3 linked regions of the Macaca fascicularis genome follow. The protein of the gene in region 1 interacts with the protein of each later gene in a pairwise test. Links are inferred from orthologs where the notes say so. Each region holds a gene or a part of one and is shown in the gene's direction. Other genes may lie near its edges.

The links. The genes of interacting proteins can lie anywhere in the genome.
Region 2: the proteins of CBY2 (region 1) and ARMC7 interact in binary tests that used the Homo sapiens proteins (3 or more experiments, as listed by UniProt). The two-hybrid records come from large-scale screens. The link is inferred for Macaca fascicularis from reciprocal best matches to the Homo sapiens genes CBY2 and ARMC7.
Region 3: the proteins of CBY2 (region 1) and CNNM3 interact in binary tests that used the Homo sapiens proteins (3 or more experiments, as listed by UniProt). The two-hybrid records come from large-scale screens. The link is inferred for Macaca fascicularis from reciprocal best matches to the Homo sapiens genes CBY2 and CNNM3.

The regions. Positions count from the first base shown.
Region 1 is NC_088391.1:24,906,734-24,910,740, forward strand, and holds the start of CBY2 (protein chibby homolog 2), read left to right. Parts: upstream 1-1,203; 5' UTR 1,204-1,274; coding exon 1,275-1,349; intron 1,350-1,648; coding exon 1,649-1,729; intron 1,730-4,007.
Region 2 is NC_088390.1:81,488,855-81,492,908, forward strand, and holds the start of ARMC7 (armadillo repeat-containing protein 7), read left to right. Parts: upstream 1-1,243; 5' UTR 1,244-1,536; coding exon 1,537-1,627; intron 1,628-1,710; coding exon 1,711-1,854; intron 1,855-4,054. UniProt on the Homo sapiens protein: As a component of the minor spliceosome, involved in the splicing of U12-type introns in pre-mRNAs.
Region 3 is NC_088387.1:1,835,686-1,839,787, forward strand, and holds the start of CNNM3 (metal transporter CNNM3), read left to right. Parts: upstream 1-1,291; 5' UTR 1,292-1,326; coding exon 1,327-2,551; intron 2,552-4,102. UniProt on the Homo sapiens protein: Probable metal transporter.

The DNA.
Region 1 (4,007 bases):
TGAGCCTCTGAACGCACTGGTCTAGGTGGCTACTCAGGATCAGTGCAGGGGGCCTGCACACCACTAGGGGCAACAGTACCTTGAACAGGCTGTTCGTCTCACCTGGGGTTCTAGTTTGTTATCAAGCAAAAGGGGCTCACTGCCCAATATGCTAGAAGCCAATACTGACACCAAGTTTTTGAAAAAAAGAAAAGCTTTATATTAAAAGTCACCTCTGAAGGAGGCAGGAGTCAAGCTCAAATTTGTCTCTCTGTGCTGGCATTAAAGCAGTATTTTTATTGGAAAAGGTTCAGGGGGTGGATTCTGAGATTAGCAGGTGATTGGTACAAGGAAAAGGGAGGTCTGGAAAGTCCTTGGGCATGCACAGTTATTTCTTCATGTTAACTCCTGAGTTGCATGTGCAAATTCAGGGGGAATTAGTACAAAACATGTGGTGGAAATTCAGGCTACGACATCAGCAAGCTTATTGTGTGCAAGCTCCAGTCAGCCATTTTGGTTCCAACCAATTTCCGCCAGGTTTTTCTAGATCTCACAAGTGGAGGGAGTTTCAGCAGCTTAAATTTCTTTTCTTATCTGCTATCCCGAAACTCAAAAATTTCTGTTAGTTACTGATTTCTTACTCTTTGGGACTTTCCATATCTCCCATTTCCATCTACCAATCACCTACTAATCTCGGAATCTACCCCCGGAAACTTTTCTAATAAAAATACTGCCTTAATGTCAGCACCGAGAGACCGGTTTGAGTTTGACTCTTGTCTCCTTGGGAGTTGACTTTGAATATACAAGTTTTTCTTTTTTAAAGAACGTAGTGTTTTAGTATTGGCTTCTATTGCATTGGGCAGTAAGCCCCTTCAGCTCTATCACACTAACTCCAGGTAGATAGCATCAGAATGAAATGGAATTGTAGGGCACACAGTTGATGTCAGAGAATTAAGGAATTGAGTAGTGTCAGAAAACACCTCAGACTATACTTTCTCGCTTGGTGTGGGAAGAGTTCAGTTGTGTTTCCTTCTTCTTGAGTGACCGAACTCCAAGAAGACGCCACTTCTGGAGAGAAACTAGGGGTCTCAACTTAGCCTGGCAGTGAGAATACAAATGGCAGCTGGGATGACCCAACAGGGGGCTAATGTTTGAGCTATTGTGTGTCACACTGACCCTGACCGGCCAAGTAGTCACAGCCCCCACAGGTTCTTCCTGCCTGTCAGATGCCTCATTCCCACCTGTGATGCTCAGACAGAAACCATGAGCCCTGAAAAACACCCTATTGTTTTGTGATGTCACCTCTGGAATGTTCTGAGTGTTTTGGTGACCAACTTCTGCATAGGACCTATACCTGGCAACTCACATTGGTATGGCTTTTTACTTGAGATAGAAATAATCATCTTAGGCAAGCAGGTACAGTTATCTCCGCGTCAAAGACTTTCAAAAGTCTTTTACATCAACTATAATATCTAGCTTAATATCTGTTCAGAGATTGATAAACCGTCTTGCCAGATATCGTCTACACATTCTTCCAGACTTTCATAATTGTACATAACTGACAAGAGGGAAATAAATGAGGAGAAAGTTCTATGTTTTTTAGGTGAGCAATTGAGGCCCAGAGGATGAGTTGGGAAGCAGCAATCTTCTTCTTTTCTCTTTTCCACAGCACTCAAGGCCAAATTTTACAAGAAAAAGAGATACCAGATCTGAAAGCCTAGAAATTCCAATCAATGTGGTTCTACCTCAGGTAGGGATAATCACAGAGGATGTAACCTATCGGTGTTAGCCAGAATAACCCCCTACCTCCTCCTTCAAAACTCTAGCAAGATGTTGTAGAATAAGCAGAGATAGGGCTTCAGGTTCTAGTTTGGGTTGGCTGCCAGCAGGCAGCGTGCTGGGGAAGGCCACATAGCCCCTGTGGGCCTTGGGTTCTTTTTCCCACGAATGAGGTGGTTGGGTCAGATGGTTTGGTAAGAACTTCCAGTCCTAACATTCCAAGTTTCTATGATACTCTGAAGTAACCCAACCTTCTCAAAACGAGACCTTTTGGTGCTTAGTGTTGTGCATTCACTTTGGATTTCTAGAGGAGAATTAGAACTGGGACTTGGAATCAAATGCATAAGAATGAATCCATGAGAAGAAAACCTCCTTCATGGACAGAGGGGTACAGAGTTATTTGGAGTTGTCAAGAGAATTAAGCCCTGCTATGCACCAAAGACAGATGTAGGGGCCATGGGCATAGATGCTTTTGTGGTCAATGAATTGGTGAAGTCCTCACAGGCTAGAGATTCTCAGGTCTCCTCCTGCCTGAAATCAGCTCTTTCCTTAGTGGAGTCTTCTTGATTGAATTGTGTCTACTGATGCTATGTCACAAAGGGGTGGCTTTGCTTTCTCCAGAGTCACCTAAGGCCTCATTGGAAGACCAGGGCCATGCAACCAGAGGGGTTGAAATGTAGGATGGAGGAATCCAAAGCAGAGGTAACTATCTGAGAGCTCTGTCCAGGGATGTGTAGGAGGAGGATTGACCACTGGTGAGCATTCCAGATATAATTGTAACAATCTAGGCAAGTATGTTCAGTGGGAGGCAAACATATGGAAGAAGAAAACATCCTGGATGTTTATTTTCACATTATCTTTATAACTTTGTAATGAACAGTCACTTTTCTATGACTTGAATCTTAGCTAGAATATAAGATAACTTCCCCCTGATCATTCGACAGGATAACAAGCTGTAGGAATCTTTTTGGGCCTGATTCTTTCCACCTGAAATATGCAGGGAGTTGTGTTGGCCACTGCTTCCCCAAGAGTGGGTGTTACTGCTGTGATGCCTCATGGCCCATATAAACCAATCTTTTCTTCCAGAATCCTGGGGCCTCTCAACTTTACATGCTTTGAAAGTACCTCAGATGGCTGAACGTTCTCTGATAGTAACCCTCAGTAATGTTGGCAAAGTTGGTGTTTAAGAAACTTGGTCAGGCAGAGGATGCCAACCTAGAGGTGGGTGTGAAGGAGGGGATAGGATTTGAAAGAGTAGTGGTCATGTGATAGAGAAATTGGAATGATGTTTCCATCAACACCTACCGTAACTTTCCCTCCCCAGCTCCCAGAAACAGCCCAGCAATCAAAGAGAAGAGAATGTGGTTTAAGACAGCTCAAGCTTGTCTTGGGGCTGCCTGATTACTGTTCTGGAGGACCTGGTGCTGCTGCTGGGGTCCTGTGGGGGCAGAGTGGGTGAAGAATGAGAGGATATCTCCTGTCTGGGCATGTGTACCTCTCACGGGAAGGTGTATACACCTGCCAAGAGGGCACAAGCCATGCACCAGGTTTTGGACACCTGTCAGGATGCTCAAGACTGGCACTCTGGGGACGGGTGTGGGTGTCTACAAGTAGATAATCTGAACCAAAATACCACCAGGGCTGCGAGAGGGACCAATGTGCTCACTCGGCCTCCCTAGATGAGATGGTGCATGGCTTAGGGGACAGGGTTGATCTGGGAAGCAAGGAGAGGAAGAAATATCGACTGAATGTTAGTGCGATCATGTGTTGAGCACGGTGCCAAGTAAGTGTGAGGTAGAGATTTTACAGGTACAGGAACTGGCAACCCCAGGAACCCCACTAGTAATGGCAGAGATGGAGGAAGGGGCTTGAACTCCAATCAGTGCCCATGTTCTCCGCTATACCAGGGCACATGCCACTAAGCTGGGCCACGCTGCATCTTAGCTCTGTGGTTCTTCTTTTGCTCTTTGGAGATGGAGTCTTCTCCCCGCATCTTAACCGCTCATCTCTGGGCTTCTTATTTTGTATTTGCCAAAAGCTACTCTATTCTGGGATGGAATCCACTTTCCATTTGTTTCAGAAAGGACTTGTGGCAGCAGCTCTGTCTCTAGAAAGTGCCTCTGCTTCCCAGCTCCCAGTCCTGCTGTGTGTTTAGGCTTCTCAATTACATTGCAAATGCCTGTGATCACTACTTGTTATCACCCTTAGGTCTTTTCAGGACGCATTGATTTCCCGTTTTTCTTCCTCAC
Region 2 (4,054 bases), on another chromosome or scaffold:
GTTCAACGTTGGACAGGAAAGTTGCTGGGCAGATGGCCATTCAAAAGTATGTTTTGTGCAAGGTTGGGGTTTTTGCAGAATCTTTGTGATAGTTTTCATTATCAGATATTTATGCATGAGAACCCTCTTGTCATGGTTTTCTCCGACTCTGTCCGGGTTTTTTTGTTCTGTTTTTTTTTTAACACAAGTGACTCCAATTAGATTAACAACTTTTGCATTCTCAGGACACTCACAGCCTAAGCCACCTCTCTACCCCTACGTTGTCAAACGCGATGGGAGTGTAGTAAGGCCACCTCCTTCCCTGGTGCTTTGTTCCCTGTAACCACGAGTAGTAATCCATCACACACCTGCTTCCCGAGAATCCTCGAGAAGGAATCGGCCGAAGGGCTTCAGCATCCAGAAAGCCCCGAAAGCGCCACAAACAAGGCTCTTCCTCGGGCTCCCCGGTGCTGCCCCGGGCGCGCGCCATCCACCCGGCTGACAAAAAGCACCAGGACATGACCCCGTCCCCTTTGATTTCTGTCCAGAGGTGGCGGACTCACCTCGGGGCTGGGATAGAGGACGGGTCGGGGTCGCTACGCTTTTTGCAAAAGGGTCAAAAGACTGATGGGGGTGGGTAAGGAGCTGACGCCCGCGCTCTAAAGGGGCGTCCTGGTCAAGGAGGCTGGGCCGCGCCCCGCCAGCCATGGGGATCCTGGAGGTGCTTCTGCCTCGACGTCCTCCCAACATGGGTGCTGCCAGACTCCGTTGCGCTCCTGAGTTGCTCCTCACGTCATTCCAGCCGCCCGACATGGGTGCCTCACTTTCGGCTTCTGGGCCACGTCGGGGCGGCGGAGGACCCGGGGGGCCGGGCGGGAGAGTGGGAAAGGTGGGGCGGGAAAGCCGAGAGAGGCCCTCACCCGCCTTCCTGTTGGCGGGGGCGGCAAGTGGGTTTCTTTCTTGCGTTCAGATTTTGCAATAATTTGCAGCTGGACATAGGATATGGGAGACAAGGCTGCTCCTCGCAGTACACCCACCCACGCCCATACCTCCCTCGGCGAAGCGTGTCGCAGCGGGTTCCAGCGCAGGCTAAAGAGCTTCCGCAGCCAGAAAACCGAAAGCGCGCCGCGCACGCGCGCCAAGGAGTTCGGCGACGGCCCCGCCCCTCGCCTGCCTCGTCCCGCCCCTTCCGCGCCTTGTAGGGTGGGGACAGCGCGGCTTCCGCCGGGAGCCTGGAACCGAGCCCGGCAGCCGGGGGCTGGGCGCCAGTACCCACTCCGCCAGCCCCAACCCGCAGACGGTTCCCTGTCTCCCGCGCCCCAATTTCGATTTTCAGACCCAACTCCTACAGGATTCTGAGACCCCGGCCCATCTCCCCACATTCCATTTCCAGCTGCAAATTACTGCAGAGTCTGAACCCAAGAAAGAAACCCATTTGCCGTCCCCGCGTCTTCCCTCGCCAGACAGGTGGAGAGTGGGTGAGGGTCTCGCTCGGCTTTCCCCCTGCACCTTTGCCACCCGCCCGCCCGTCCCTGGGGGTCCTCCGTCACGCCGGCCATGGCCCAGAAGCCGAAGTTGGACCCCCACGTCGGGCGTTTGGGATACCTGCAGGCGCTGGTCACGGAATTCCAGGAGACCCAGAGCCAAGGTGAGAGCCACGGTGGGACCAGGTGACAGGGTCGGCTGTGACCGCCGCCCGGACCTGGCTCCAGTGCCGCTTTCCCGTTGCAGACGCCAAGGAGCAAGTCCTCGCCAACCTCGCCAACTTCGCTTATGACCCCAGCAACTACGAGTATCTACGGCAGCTGCAGGTCCTGGATTTATTTCTCGATTCGCTGTCGGAGGAGAACGAGACCCTGGTTGAGTTTGCTATTGGTAAGGGCTGGGCCCGTTCGCTAGATGGCTAAATGGGCCGGGGTGAGATAAGTGAGTTACAAGTGAGTCCTTGGGGCCTGGCGTGGTGGCTCACACATGTAATCCCAGCACTTTGGGAAGCCGAGGCGGGGGGATCACCTGAGGTCAGGAGTTCGAGACCAGCCTGGCCAACATGGCAAAACCTCGTCTCTACTAAAAGTACAAAAATTAGCTGGGCATGGTGGCGAGTGCCTGTAATCCCAGCTAAGCGGGAGCAAAAATTAGCCGCACACAGTGGTGTGCACCTGTAGGCCCAGCTACTCTGGAGGCCGAAGCAGGAGGATTGCTTGAGTCCGGGAGGCAGAGGCCAAAGTGAGCTGAGACTGCGCCACTGCACTCCAGCCTGGGCGACGGAGTGAGACCATGTCTCAAAAAAAGATGTTTTAAAAAGAGCAGTTTTGTAGCCAGGCGCGGTGGCACACGCCTGTAATCCCAGCACTTTGGGAGCCCGAGGCAGGCGGATCACCTGAGATCAGGAGTTCGAGACCAGTCTGGCCAACATGATGAAACCCCGTCTCTAACTAAAAATACAAAAATTAGCCGGGCGTGGCGGGCGCCTGTAATCCCAGCTACTCGGGAGGCTGAGGCAGGAGAATCACTTGAACCCGGTAGGCAGAGGTTGCTGTGAGCCGAGGTGGCGCCACTGCACCCCAGCCTGGGCAACAGCGAGACTCCGTCTCAAAAAAAAAAACAACAACAATTTCAGGTGGGTGAGGTGGCTCACACCTGTAATGTCAGCACTTTGGGCGGCCGAAGCAGGCAGATCACTTGAGTCCTGGAGTTCAAGACCGGCCTGGCAAAAGCCCATCTCTGCTAAAAAAAAAAAAAAAAAAAATTAGTCTGGCGTGGTGTCCCAGCTACTCAGGAGGCTGAGGTGGGAGGATTGCTTGAGCCTGGGAGGACGAGGCTGCAGTGAGCTGGGATTGGGCCACTGTACTCCAGCCTGGGTGACAGAATGAGAATCTGTCTTAGAAACAAAAGTAACTCATATTTAGTGTTTTCATATCAGGAGAAGCAGAGATGGCTTGCAGTCTGTAACTTACGGCTTCTTTTGTAGTTATGATCTTAAGACCTATTGATTTATTCACTGGGCAGATATTTACTGGGCATGTACCGTATATGTAAACTACTGCTCTAAATGCTGGAGTATGGTGAACAGGTTAGGGAAAGTGTTTGTCCCTCAGGAGCTTACATTCTAGTAGGGGGGACAGGTGGTTAGCAAACAAAAAAGATGATGCTCAGCAGCAAATAAATGGGGTGATGAGAAACAGCAGTAGAAGGTGGTGGTTACTTCCGTTTTGGCCATCATGAGAAAGGCATTTTAGCAGGGACACAGCATGGGCAAAGGCCTTAAAACAGGAAGGAGCCAGAAGGAAGATGAATGTGGCAGGATCGTTATAGTGAAGTGGAGAATGGCACAAAAAGAGGATAGAGAGTTAAGCGGCACCAGAGCTTGCCGGAGCTTAGATCTAGGCCGTGGGAAATAGTTTGAAGCAGACAAAATTTTGAGAACAAACAAAAATCCCTGTTTCAAGCCATGCACAGTGCTCATCTGTAGCCCCAGATAGGAGGATCGCTTGAGCCCAGGAGTTTGAGGCTGTAGTGTGCTACGATTGCATGATTGCACCTGTAAATAGCCACCGCACTCCAGCCTGGGCAACACGCGTGTGATCACCTGGCTGAAGTCTTGTCAGGCTTCTCCACTGTAAAATTACTCTTTCTTTCCCCTCTTTACGTATTATGTATTATACCCATTGGAAGGAAGTCACTACATAAATTATCTTAAATCTTTTTCTTTTTTTTGAGATAGGGTCTCACTGTGTCACTTAGGCTGGAGTACAGTGGTGTGATCATAGTTCACCATAAATTTAAACTTCTGGGCTCTAGCAGTCTTCCTGCCTTAGCCTCCCGAGTAGCTGTGACTACAGGTGGACACCACCATGCCCGGCTTTTTTTTGTTTTTAATTTGTTTTCGAGAGGATCTCACTGTGTTGCCCAGACTGGTCTCGAACTCGGCTTTTTTTTTTTTTTTTTTTTTTTTTAATTTGTTGTCGACACACGGTCTCACCGTCTTGCCCAGACTGGTCTTGAACTCCTGGCCCCAAGAGATAAATCGCTTGTAACCCTAAACAGACCCTCATTTCATAACACTGATTCTTGA
Region 3 (4,102 bases), on another chromosome or scaffold:
AAGTTTTTTACAAAGTCTTTTCCTTTGGCCATTCACCACCAGCTTACTTAATTTTTTTTTTTTTTTTTTTGCACATTACTTTCCACACAAGTTTTACTTTGTGGCCACAATGTGCATACTTTATTTGAATGTTACTTTCATGACATAGCAAATTGTTTCTATAGTTTTTATAAAGGTCATTTAAAATGACATGCGCAGTAAGTCAAAGTCTTCCTGTGCTAGGAAATTTGAAAAAACAAAAGTGTAGAGAAAAATACAAAAATTACTGAATCTGAACATCTACAGAGAAGTGTTAGCATCTGGTCTGTTTCCTTCCAATCACAGACAGATCATATCTAATGGGTAAAGAACCTTCCATACTGTCAACAGACCACACTGTCTTCTAAAATCAATTCACCAGTGCGGATCCTCTGGAATAGATCTTGTGAGTCCCGAGGTGGTACTTTCCTCCCAGCGGCGAGCTATGAGAAGTGGAATCACCAGAGGTAGTCATTCCGTAGACAGAACTGCCGCCTCCCTGCGTGGCTGCGATGCTGACCTGGGTGGCAGGCCGGGGGCGCCGGAACCCAGCACGCACACTAAGTCGGTCCGAGCTCCGCTCTGCTCCTGTAAGATACTAACAACCTGAGGTAGCTGTCCAGACTCAAGGCGGTAGTGATTTTGTGTGTCTGCGTGTTTATCGCGGGGTCCGCAGCGGGACCGCAGGGGCTGTGTCCGACGTCCCCAGACCTCCAGCAGGGTCCGGAGCGATGAACATCTTCCATCAACTTCACCTCCGGGCGCTCGGTCACTGGTTCTTACTTCAGCCCTCTTAGCACCGTAGGTCGGCGCGTCGAAAACCTTTCTGGCACCCGGTGGTCTTTCCTAAGAAAAAGGCACATCTCTCGCACATTTAACTCTCCGTCCGGTCTTTAACTTCAGGCGCGCCAGGACCCGAGGTTCTTCCGAGCGGCAGCTCCGCTCCAGAGCCGGGCACTTCCCAGAGCATTGGCGCGGCCTCCGGGCGCGGGGGACAGCCGGGCGCCGCGCGCGGGCCGAGGACAGCCGGGCTGGGGAGGCCCTGCCCGCCGCCCCGCGTTCTCCCGGCCACGGCCACCCCGCGCATCCGGAGCTGCCGCAGACCCGGCCGGGCCCAGAGCCCCACGCCCCCGGCCCGCCCCTAGCGGCCGCTTGTTTACTCCCCGGCGCAGCCTAGTCCGACCCTGGGGCCCGCCCCTGTCCACCGCCTATTGGCCGAGGAAGCGCGAAGACCGGCAACGATTGGCCCGGGGAGGCGCGGGGCGAGCGGGGTAGGCTGCGCGAGAGGCCGAGAGGGGGCGGCAGGCGATGGCGGCGGCGGCAGCGGCGGCGGGTGTGTTAGGCTGGTTGTTCGCCGCGCTCTGCCTGGGCAACGCCGCGGGGGACGCCGCGCCGGGCCCGCGAGTGCTGGGCTTCTGTCTGGAGGAGGATGGAGCGGCGGGCGCGGGGTGGGTACGCGGAGGGGCGGCGCGGGACACGCCGGACGCCACCTTCCTCCTGCGCCTCTTCGGCCCGGGCTTCGCCAACAGCTCTTGGTCCTGGGTGGCCCCCGAGGGGGCGGGCTGCCGGGAGGAGGCGGCCGCCCCCGCGGGCGAGTGGCGCGCGCTGCTGCGCTTGCGCCTGCGGACCGAGGCCGTGCGCCCGCACTCGGCGCTGCTGGCGGTGCGCGTGGAGCCGGGTGGCGGGGCGACCGAGGAGGCGGCGCCTCCCTGGGCTCTGGGCCTGGGGGCGGCCGGGCTGCTGGCGCTGGCAGCGTTGGCGCGCGGCCTGCAGCTGAGCGCGCTGGCGCTGGCGCCGGCGGAGGTGCAGGTGCTGCGCGAGAGCGGCTCGGAGGCGGAGCGTGCGGCGGCGCGGCGTTTGGAGCCCGCGCGGCGCTGGGCCGGCTGCGCCTTGGGCGCGCTGCTGCTGCTGGCCAGCCTGGCGCAGGCAGCGCTGGCGGTGCTGCTGTACCGCGCGGCCGGCCAGCGTGCGGTGCCTGCTGTGCTGGGCAGCGCGGGGCTCGTGTTCCTGGTGGGCGAGGTGGTGCCGGCCGCCGTGAGCGGTCGCTGGACGCTGGTGCTGGCGCCGCGCGCGCTCGGCCTCAGCCGCCTGGCCGTCCTGCTCACTCTGCCCGTGGCGCTGCCCGTGGGGCAGCTGCTGGAGCTGGCAGCGCGGCCCGGGCGGCTGCGGGAACGGGTGCTGGAGCTGGCGCGCGGCGGCGGCGACCCCTACAGCGATCTCAGCAAGGGCGTGCTGCGCTGCCGGACCGTGGAGGACGTGCTCACGCCCCTCGAAGACTGCTTCATGCTGGACGCCAGCACCGTGCTGGACTTCGGCGTCCTGGCCAGCATCATGCAGAGCGGCCACACGCGCATCCCCGTGTACGAGGAGGAGCGCTCCAACATCGTGGACATGCTCTACCTCAAGGACTTGGCCTTCGTGGATCCTGAAGACTGCACGCCGCTCAGCACCATCACTCGTTTCTACAACCATCCGCTCCACTTCGTCTTCAACGACACCAAGCTGGACGCTGTCCTGGAGGAGTTCAAGCGAGGTAACATCCCGGGCATGGTGCAGGGGACGCCTGTGCCAGTGCCCTCTCCCTGAAAAGGGATGGAGAGTTATGAAAGCCTTCAGGAAAGGGTCCCACCCCCGTGGCGTGCGGTGAGACTTCTAAGGTCCCTTTTCAAGACGGTATTGGCCTTGCAGGTTGGAATCACCTTTTGAAATACTTAAAGGCCATCCATCAGAGTGGGAGAAATCCTTTAGACAGCGAACACTTTAACCCCCGCGTCAGGATGGCACCCCTATACATATCCTATTTGCAGGGAGGGGTATGTCCGCTTGGCTCTAATCCCCCAGCTCTTCCCCTCTCCCAGAGCGTTTCTGTGTGCTTGTCTTTGTAGCAGGTCCAAATGTTTGGCTAGAAACTAGAAGAACACAGAGAAGAGGGTAGTCTCCAGGTATCTGGGACGTTGTGGCCCGCACACATGTAATATCAAATTGACTGAACGTGTGATGTTTCCTTCAGAGCGTTCTTAAGGTCTCTGGCTTTACTGCAGATAAGGGTATTTAGGTGTCAATCTCTTATCTGCAGTAAAGCCAGGGAAACTTACACTTTGCTTCCCCCAAAAGTAACTCCACGGATGCTGACTTAGTCTCCCTTTCTCTCGGCTCTGTCGCCCAGGCTGGAGTGCAGTGGCGCGTTCTCGGTTCACTGCAACCTTCGCCTCCCAGGTTCAAGCAATTCTCCTGCCTCAGCCTTCCGGGTAGCTGGGACTACAGGTGCACGCCACCATGCCCGGCTAATTTTTGTATTTTTAGTAGAGACGAGGTTTCACCACGTTGGCCAGGCTGGTCTTGAACTCCTAACCAGGTAATCCACTTGCCTCACTCTCCCAAAGTGCTGGGATTGCAGGCGTGAGCCACTGTACCTGGCCTTTTTTTTTTTTTTTTTTGCTTTTTAATCTCCTGTTCTTAAAAAATTTTATATAGAGACAGGGTGTCACTATTTTGCCCAGTCTGGTCTCAAACTCCTGGCCTCAAGTGATCCTCCCACCTTAGCCTCCCAAAGTGTTGGGATTACAGGCGTGAGCCACTGCACCCAGCCTAACCTACACTTTTCTATCTGTAAGGTTTCAAGTTCTCCCTTCACTCCACATTTTCATCCCTCCTTTCACTCTGTTTTATCTAAGCAGTTCGGAGATTGAAGGTAAAACCAATACTCCCCAGATATGAAGGTGTGGTTTCCTCTGTAGTCCTCCCCAGCGTCATCCTTAGGGGTGCTCCCCAGAGTTTGGTGCTCACACCTTGGCCAACAGCCATGCTTCTCACACCTGCACTCCTGTAGGGTGAGGGTGGGGGCACCCCAGGGTGGTGGATGGGCTTGACCCTAAAGGCTGTCTGCTGTGAGACGAAGAAGTGGCAAAGCCTCCTGGTATTTGTGGCAGGACGTCTCTGGCACTGTCTCACTGTCTGTGAGAGCCCCTGGCCTGTCGGTGCAGGAAGCCAGGCTTTGTGGTAATGATTGCTACTCCTGACTGAGCACTGCTATGTGCCAGGAGCTGATGGGCACTCTCTGTAATCTCGTCCCTTATTCCTTGCA